Linked DNA regions of Yarrowia lipolytica. The protein of the gene in region 2 interacts with the protein of the main gene of each other region in a pairwise test. Links are inferred from orthologs where the notes say so. Each region holds a gene or a part of one and is shown on either strand. Other genes may lie near its edges. The genes, in order: YALI1_E04420g and YALI1_D21702g.

Region 1 (4,777 bases), on a different chromosome or scaffold from region 2:
CAAGAAATAGTGTTGAGGACTAATGTCATGAAAGTAGTAACCTATAGTATGTACAAGTACAGTAGTCCTATTTTGGGTCGTTTTCAGTAAAAATTTCGCCAAATTAAAACTCTTTCTTTAGCTTCGGTTGTTCAGAAGAGCGTATGGCGCTCTGAGTCATCAGTCTGCTTAGTCATGGGTCTGGGTTCTAACAAAATCAAAGTTTTCCAGCCTTCGTGGCCAAGTGGTAAGGCGCAGCACTAGTAATGCTGAGATCATCAGTTCAAATCTGGTCGAAGGCATTTTTTTTTCCAACCACCATAATGTATTTTTTTTTTGTGAAAATGATGGTCGATTGTGTCTACTTATACAATATAAGTACTTGTACTTTACATTTTTATAGATCTCTTTATTATGAAACTTCTCCCAATGTCATTTTCCACCTTCAATTACATACTACAAGTAGTACATACACCGTTGTACAGTATACACCTTCAGTTATGAATGCACAAGATATGTGCTCAACTTTTTGTACAAGTACCCCCCATTTCCCAATTGATTTTCCTGATTCTCACTCCCGTTCTTATACTGTACTTGTACACTCTTATCTACTTGTACAACCAATTACTACATCGTATCACCCACGCTAAATTAGCTACCCGTAACACTAATACAGTCAAAACGTACAGGTATGCTCCATACCACTGTTTCTATGAGATTAAATACTTAGTGCTGCTGGACGACACCACTCTCACTTGCGTGAGAAAGAATGTACTTCTTGTAGTCCTTGATGGTTCCGTCAAACTTTGAGACGGTTCCCTTCTCGGAGACCCAGATCTGGTTGCAGACTCGGTTGATCATGTCAACGTCATGTGAAACCATGAGGATACCTCCCTTGAAATTCTTGAGACCGTCAGCCAGAGCGTCAAGACCTGCAGTATCAAGATGGTTAGAAGGCTCATCAAGAATGAGGATATGGGGGTAAGAAACACAGAGAGAGGCGAATGCAACACGAGACTTCTGACCTCCAGAAAGCAGAGCGAGCTTCTGGAGACCGATGGAACCAGTAATACCAAAAGAACCGAGATGTCGTCGGTACTCCTCCTCGGACTTGCCGGGGTTGATCTTGGCGAGCCAAGCGGTGGGAGTCAGGTTGAGGTCCATACCGTCAACGTGGTGCTGGGCGAAGTAGCCAACTCTCAGACGAGGGTGCTTAGAGATGGATCCGTCAACAGGGCTCAGCTGGTCAGTCAGAAGCTTCAGCAGGGTAGTCTTACCGCAACCATTAGCACCGACAAGAGCGATTCGGGAGTCCATTTGGATATCGAGATCAACGTCCTTGAGCAAAAGTCGCTCAGGGTTGTAACCGAAGGTGACGCCCTGCATCTGTAGAATGGGAGGCGAGATTTTTTCGGGCTCAGAAAATCGGAACTCCACAGCCTTATCCTCCTCGGGCAGCTCCAGAATGGGCAACTTCTCGAGCTTCTTGATTCGTGACTGGGCTTCTGAGGACTTGGCCGCGTTGTATCTGAATTTGTCAATGAAGGCCTGCAGATGCTGTCTGTAAGCCATCTGGTTCTCGTACTCTCGGATAGCATTCTTGTATCGCTCCTCCTTAGTGGCATAGAAGGCGTCAAAGTTGGCGTTTCGATAGTAGTCGAGTCGCTCGGAGTGCTGGTAGATGATATCGGTGGCGACTTCGTTAAGGAAGGCTCGGTCATGGGAAACAACAAGAACAGTGGAGGGGTAGGTCTGGAGGTAGTTGGCAAGGTAGGTGATCGAGGGAACATCCAACATATTGGAAGGCTCATCAAGTAGCAGCAAGTCAGGCTTACAGAACAGAGCTCGAGCAAGAGCCAGACGCATTCTCCATCCACCGGAGAAGGAGTTTGTGGGATTTCCTTGGGTGGCCTGGGAGAAACCAAGACCTGACAGAATGGCAGCAGCTCGAGACTCGGCCTTATCGGACTCGATGTCGACCAGCTTGGTCTCGACCTCCTCGAGGTTGGTCTCCAGGTCGACCTGCTCGTCATCGAGCTCTCGGATCTCAGCACTGTTGTCGTCCAGACCCTGCTCAGTGAGGGTCTTTCGTTGGGCCTCAATCTCTGCGATTCGAGTGACGGCAGTGTGCTGCTCCTTGAGCAGATGCTTTCGCCACACATCGGCGTCCAGAACGGACTGGATTGCAGAAGTCTCGTCTCCAGTGATTTCCTGCTCGACGTGGAGAATAGTAATGTGCTTGGGGACGGGAAGCTCTCGTCGAGAAAGAGCTCGCAGAAGAGTAGACTTACCAATACCGTTCTGACCGACCAGACCGTATCGTCGACCGTAAGACAAAGTAAGAGAGGTATCGGACAGGATTCGCTGACCCATACCGACGTGCAGATCAAAGTTGTCGATCTTGATATCCTTGGTCTTACCGGCACCAGCCATACCCAGATCCAGAGGGTTAACTGTGAGGAAGAACTCGTCGTAGTCCTTGCTGTCCTGGGTCTCAGTGACAAGCTTGGAGGCCTCATACTGGACTTGGGCAGCGTCCTTGGCAGCTCGAGCAGCCATCTTAGCGGCAATCTTCTTCTCAGCCTTCTCGAGCTTCTTCTTGTCAACTCGAGACTCGACCTTTCGGCCGCCAACGTGATCCAGATCAGCAACACCAAAGATGTTGTTGTTGAGCACACTGGCCTGTCGGTTGGAGGCGTGGTTAACGGCAGACATGAGAGCCTGCTGATCGATGATCTGGGACTGGGCAGAAGCGCCGGCCTCATTGATGGCCTCCTTCTGAAGAACAGTAAACTCCTTGAGCATGTGGTCGTAGAGCTGCTGAGCAGCAGGCTTCTCAACACCAGCTCCAACAAGCAGAGAGGCGATGAAAGAGGCCTCAGCTGTCAGGTCATGCTGGGGACCGATGTTGTTCTCAAGATGTCGAATGTAGCCAGTGGCGTAGTCCACAACCACGGTGTCTACGTTTCTCGCGGTCTTGGTGACCTCAGCGGCGATTGAAGGCATCTTTGAGGTGTGAGGTTGGGTTGGTGGTTCAGTATAAGTCCTTATTTGCCTTTATTTGCATTAACCTGGTGATGAAATTTCCTTGGAGCTTAATTTGTATACAGACTGTGAGTACGGAGCAATGCTGATGTGTGTGTAGGCAATGGAGTAAGGAGAACAAGTGGCACATAAAAACAATTTCAAGGGACATATCTATATTTTAACACATTCATGACCTATCTACCACTCATGTCCTTCTCGATTTCTCCTCACACTACACCAAGCCCCCAAACTGCATGTCATACTTACATATAGATGGAACACTGGATGTGTCGTATCATACTGTATCGTACCTACTTGTACACTGTAGCTACTGGCTACTGTACTGTAATTGCCATATCTATACAGTTACTTGTCTGTGGACCAAATAAAAAAAATCATTCTATTATATTTCCATGCAACATCTACTGTACTGTTAATCACTCGATTCTTGGGGTTCGTGCAAGGTACTCAAGAATGCTGTTGCCCCAGAGCATGGCGGCTCCAATAGGGCCGGGGTGAAGATCATCAAACATGTACTGGTTTTCGGGGATGGCACGCACAAAGTCGCCCACGTGCCAAAACTCCAGGCCCATCTGGTCCATTACATGCTTGGCTGCGGAGTTGAGCTGTCGCACCTTGTTCGAATGGAACCGGTTGTGTCGGTCCGAAGTGCCGTCGTTGAAGAAGGAGCCTTGCTGTGCCCGAGGAGAATGCATCTGTCGAAAGACAATACGGGAGTTGGGCAGAATCTTCTGAACCTCCAGGACAAACTTTTCCAGGTTAACCACGTACTCACGCACCTGTTCCTCGGTGAGGTAGATGGATTCGGTAATGCCTGCGTAACCGTCCAGACGGTCGTATCGAGCCAGCTCCCAGAAACCCACGTTAAGAACAATCAGCTCCAGGTCGTTGTGATGAGGCCGAGAGTTGACGATATCCTTTAGCAGCTTCATTCGTTCCCAAACTCCTCCAGGAAGCAGATATGACTTCTTCTTGTCATGCCAGATTTCATCAGTGTCGAAACCAAAGAAGAAAAAGGTGGATAAGGTCATGTTGTATTCGGGAGAGTAGCAGTATCGAGGGTGACCTCCAGACATCTTTGCGGGATCAGTGACCTCGTCTGTGTAGTCCTTCTGATAGGTCACCTTGACATCCTGGCCGATCATTTCGCACGAGAAGGCGGCGTTCTGTCTGTCGACCGAGTCACCAATGAACAGCACAGACTTGTCTCTGAGGTCAGGGAAATCCATGCCGTCTCTCAACTGAAGAATAGGAGGCGGGTGAATGGCCTTGCAGTCGTCATTGTATCCGACCCAGTGGGTGTTGTTGAAGTTGTTCTTGTCGTAGTCGATGTAACCAGGCAGAGCGTAGGGGTCGCAGTTGACTCGGGTGCCTCTATACACGTCTGGCGACGAGGTCGATCTTTTGGGGGCGTTAGCAATGTCGTAATAAGCAGCCTTAACGGGGAATTCTACAGCCTCGTCATCGTGCGACTGGTTGGTACTGTCGAGTTCAGTGTGGCCTTCCTTGGACCCACTACTGCTCTCGTTTGTGTAGTCCTTGCTCTTAGGGATCGCAAATGTCGGTGAGGGGAAAATGAAGAATCCCATGAGCGTAAAGAGAAGGGCCACGAATGTAATGGCCGCAATAATGCGGAACCGTATTGCCGTCATTTGTAACGAGTGTGTGTCGGTTTGAGGGTGTTTCAGATCGCAGTAGTGATAAGGAGAAAGAATGAGCTGGCTTTAAACTTCTGTATGTTGGGTGTGCG
Region 2 (4,868 bases):
TTATATGGATCTTTTGGAAATTGTGTGATTTTTGTATCCTGTCGAATCCATTTGTTTGTTGGCTCGACTTCTCTACTCCAATCCCCCTTCCTTCCAGAGATATATCCACGTCTCTCTTCTCGGTCCATTTACTTGACTGGTAATCAGCCTCCACTATACTGCCTTACCAAATTCTAACTATGCACTTGACAAAATGTCCTGACTTGACTAAATACCAACTGTAGTCAACTAAACCAGCCTCAGATTGGCAAAAGACCCCATGTGGTGGTTGAGACGCGGGTTTTGATCCACAGCGCCCTTCAGTCGCATGATGGTATGTCACGCGACTCTCGTAAAGAGATCTGGCACGGAATAACAACGTCGTTCATCACTGGCCGGTTTAGTTGCCGTTTGTAGGTGTGAAACGGTGGTTTTTATATTTCGCAGAGGCCGGGTAACTTGAGTTTACAGTTTAATTTTATTTCACCAAGACGAGTTCCAAACCTTAAATAAGGCAAGAGATGTGATCTGACCGAAAATTGTGGATGGGTCCATGGTGGTTCGTAGGGTGTTGAAAAGAGATAACAATCGATATTAGCTGTATTTTAAGCTATGACGAGTAGTTGCAGTGTCCAATAATACTCGTAATCTGTAGAATGAAGCTGCTGAAACTTAATGTTGGAAAGTTCAGATTTTTCACCGGACTTTAAAGCCGGTTTGTTGTGCAAGATATGACTGAATGACGTGAAACGTCCAGTATGGATATCAGAGAGTGAAATCGTACTATCATCAGAATCCCCCGGTTCTAGCGGTCACGATGGTACCATTATCATTGTGATAGCATCTCGAGATGCGGTTTTATGAGGGACGTGACCCAGAATTAGATGGAGAAGAGTCTTCGACAAATATAAAGTAGATTGTTGTATTCACTAAGCAGTGATCAATCTATATATCTCACCGCCGACAACATGTCTGCATTTCTATCACATCCTGGGGTCCCCACAACCCTAACCTCCCGTTTCCCGCCCTAACCCATGAAAAAGTGTCACACCTGCATTTGAAGCAAAGATGTCGGATCACATACAAATTACAAGTTTGGACTTTGAGGATTATACAGGCCATCGCAGCTGTTGAATACAGTGAGTACGAGAAGGGGACTGGGGGGAATGACACGGAGAGTGTGGCTCAAACCAGAACAACACTAACACAGACAATTATGGTGAGTTATACACGATGGTTAATGAGGTGGTTATAGAGGGTTATGAGAGGTACTGAGAGTGAAGGGGTGAGCGAGAGATGTGGGCGATGGAGAGATGTGTGTGAGGAGCGAATTGTGAGCGACATTGGCCAGTTCTAGAATGATATTGGTGACTGGTTGGTTGGTCCGTTGAAGGGTTTGTTCTGGAGAGTGTGGAGTCATGTCACCTTGTCTGATCTCAGGACTCGGATTTTCAGGTGGTTATCGTGATACCTTGGTGTGGATTAGATGTGGATTGTTTCAGACAGACAGACAGATAGAGAGAATGACGCAGAGACCGACTCAGACAACTTCAGACAGACAGATCAACAAACTACAGATCTAACCAATTACTCAGTCCTCATACTCAAAGCGATCATCTGTGAGATTTCACCATAATCCCCGGTTGATCGGTGGGCTCTGGAGAAGAGCCAAGATAAGACACATATCCTCAGACACAGTGACAACGAGCTGGAGAGTGAACAGCTATGATACACGGTGTGATCAGGCTGGATCGTGATCTACTTCCGTGTCCATTATCACATCATGTCATCGTCTTCTCATCTGGATCAGTTGGTTTTGGGGTCCCCAGTTGATTGAGCTTTTCTCCAAGTCCCTGTTGCGCTTTCGTGCCTGCATCCTCTTGTGCAAGTCTCTTGTGCAAGTCTCAGATTGTCCGTCGCGCGCAATTCCTGATGTCTCAGAGACTCCAGATCTCACTCAGAGCCTTGCTGGTTTCATCTGCGGATTGAACCCAAGTCTATCTCTTTGTCGACTCATGTGCTATGCCCAATGTCTTTTGAAGCCTTATCTCGTTCCTAAATGTGTTCTCTCGAGCTAAGACTTCACTCTCAACACTTGTTGACCCCCAATGACGCTGTGCATTAATAGTGCGCTCGTTACTGAGCTCATAGATGATTGTTGTCCACGCTCAGAATAGAAATACAGCTTCCGTGCAATTGCTGGACGGGTTCGTGTTCTTTTGTCACGCACAACCATTCATTCACTAACCCAGATGTCATCCACCAAAGACCGGCTGGAGTTTTGGAAGGAACAGCAAATGCTCCTGTCCTCTCCCGACTCCCTTCCGTCTATCCTCAGTGCTCTTTTTCAGACTATTCCACACTACTCCGACCACGTATCGAGGGACGTGGTAGTCGACACGTGGAAACTGCTGCTAAAGGAACACCCTGCCGCCCTTCAAAAGGTTGTGCCCGTGCTCGCCAAGCAGTTTGCCATCTACAAAAAGTCCTCCACAAACAACCTCATGGTGCTGCTGGAGTGGACCAACTACTTTGTGTCCTTCTCCCTGACCAACGCCGGGTCCGAGCTCAACGACTTTGTCTTCAAGGACCTCATTTCCATGCAGGCCGAGCTCGTGGACCTGTGCTCAGCATGCAACCGGGAGCGAATGGCCAAGAGCGCTCTGAGGCAGACCCGAGCCGCGTTTGCAGCCTGCATCACAGCTAACGGAGCTCTGACCAAACTGCTGAACGTATGCCTCCCAGGCACCCCCACGTCTACGGCTCTGCTGGGCTGTCTAGCATCTGCATGCGCTGAAAATGCTCCTCAAACTTTTGAGCAGCTGGATCTTTCAGCCTACTCGCAGTTTTACGGCGCCAACGTGCTCGGCGCCAAGGTTCTGCCCTGCAAAAACGCCACCAAACAGTTTTGCACGGGATACTTTGGCAACCTGTCTCGTGACCAAAAGTCCAAGGTCGCGGCTGATATCTTTGATGCCACCAAGAAGTCGATTCTGAGGTCTCCCGAGTCTGTTCTCGAGTACGCAATTCCCCTGTTGCTAGAGAGTCTCGATAAAGACGATGAGTCAGCAAAGAAGCTGGTTGACGGCATTTCCGCTTCCCTGGTCACATGTCTCAAGTCTTCCAATCAGCTCACTCGAGATGGAGCTGTCACATGCATCGGAGTGGCCTGTGCTATCTCTCACGAGACCCTCTACTCCGAGTTGGCCAAGACTGTGTCTAAGGTGACTGTGTTGGAGCAAAAAGTGGCCTATGGAAACGCTATTGCTGGCTGTCACGTGACCGATCCTTCTCTGTCTGCCGCCCTTGCTCCTGTGGTTACCAAGGAGAAGAACGAGATTGCCCTGACTGCTCTGTCACGTGCCTTTTTGGTCCACTTTTCCCCTGATCAGGCTAAGACTCTCTCTTCTGGACTGTCTGACTCCAACGCTGGCGTCGTCAAGACCTGGGTTCTACAGCTGGTCAACTTCCCCCAACACGCTGAGCACGTGACAGGTGAGCTGGAGAAGATTCTCGCTTCTTCCACCATCGTCAAGGGTGCGATTTCTGGTCTTGGAGCTGTTTACCTGCTCACCAAGGCTGGAAAAGCTGTAAAATCTGACAAGGCTCTGGAACTGGCTCTATCTCCTCGAGTGTACACCAAACTCAGTGCAGGCGAATTTGTCACTGGTTTCAAGGCTCTGGAGTCGCTGTTCAAGGAGGTTAACCCTGACAATGCCCCCGACTTTGGTAAGACCATCTTCTTCTATGCTTATGGCGACTCCGAGGTCAAGGTGGACGTTGACTGCTCTAGATTGGTTGGTCCCGCTCTGAGGAGCAATTACTCGGATGGTCTGGCTGGGGCTGTCATTTCTGGAATTTCTGACACCCACGTCAGCGAGAGAAAGTACTCCAAGTTGCTTTACTCGCTGTTTAGTGCCGAGAACAACTGCGACAAGGCTCTTGTCGATGGGCTAGAGGTACTGTGTGGCGTCGGACTGTGGATTGAGTCCGTTCTGGGAGCATCTCGAGACCCCCGAAAGTTGTTGTTGGACAATGAGAAGCATGTCAAGTCGATTCTGTCTTCGGCTGCCTCCTCCAACCTCTATCCTACCATCGCTACAGTCTGTTTCATTGCTCCTGACGTCTTTGCTGGTGAGGTTGCCGAGCAGTTCTCTGTTTCGAACCTCTCCTGTGTCACCACTGAGGCCGTGACCATCTTCAACACTCCCGCTGACGAACTGGCTTTCGATATCAAGCGAACGGAGCGTGTGGCTCACAAAAACTCCAAGGAATACCAGGACAAGCTGTGGGAAGAAAACCTCAAGAAGGAGCTCCAAAAGAAGAAGGGTGTTGTCGAAAAGCCAAAGTACACCAAGGAGGAACAAATCAAGGTAGACGAACAGATGAAGAAGGAGGCAGAAATTAGAACGGAGGTCACCGCAGTCGCAGATCACGTGACCCGGCTCATGGGCATCATTTCCGCCCTCTCCAAGGAAGCCATGACGGTTGATAACGGCAAAGAAACGTGGTTTGGACCGGCCATGACGCTCATGCTCGAGCTCCTCAGACACCCCAACGTGGATGTGCTTTGTTCCAGTCACGTGACCAAGACTCTCACGGACATGTCTTGGATCACCAACGACAAGCTGGGTTCCATTAGACCCTTCCTGGCCGTCTGCCTGCTCAGAATGTATGGTAATCACGTGAGCGAGGACCTCCAGAAGGAGTCACGTGACTCTCTCATCACGCGGGTGCTGTACAAGATTCATTCTGTGGCCATGTCTTCTCCTCTTGACGCTATTTCTCTGATTTTCGTGCTTCCCATTGTCTTGTTTGTGCTCAAGAACCAGTCTCGTGACAAGGACGTGGCTGAGGAGCAAACGCATCTTGCCATTGAGATTGTCACT

Evidence for each region.
Region 1: the proteins of YALI1_D21702g (region 2) and YALI1_E04420g interact in binary tests that used the Saccharomyces cerevisiae proteins (3 or more experiments, as listed by UniProt). The link is inferred for Yarrowia lipolytica from reciprocal best matches to the Saccharomyces cerevisiae genes GCN1 and GCN20.

The regions. Positions count from the first base shown.
Region 1 is NC_090774.1:439,092-443,868, forward strand, and holds YALI1_E04420g (uncharacterized protein), read right to left. Parts: upstream 2,986-4,777; coding exon 706-2,985; downstream 1-705. Other genes in the region: YALI1_E04437g (uncharacterized protein), read right to left, coding at 3,444-4,679. UniProt on the Saccharomyces cerevisiae protein: Acts as a positive activator of the GCN2 protein kinase activity in response to in response to low amino acid, carbon, or purine availability.
Region 2 is NC_090773.1:2,168,531-2,173,398, forward strand, and holds the start of YALI1_D21702g (uncharacterized protein), read left to right. Parts: upstream 1-1,704; coding exon 1,705-1,788; intron 1,789-2,231; coding exon 2,232-4,868. UniProt on the Saccharomyces cerevisiae protein: Ribosome collision sensor that activates a translation quality control pathway when a ribosome has stalled during translation. Directly binds to the ribosome and acts as a sentinel for colliding ribosomes.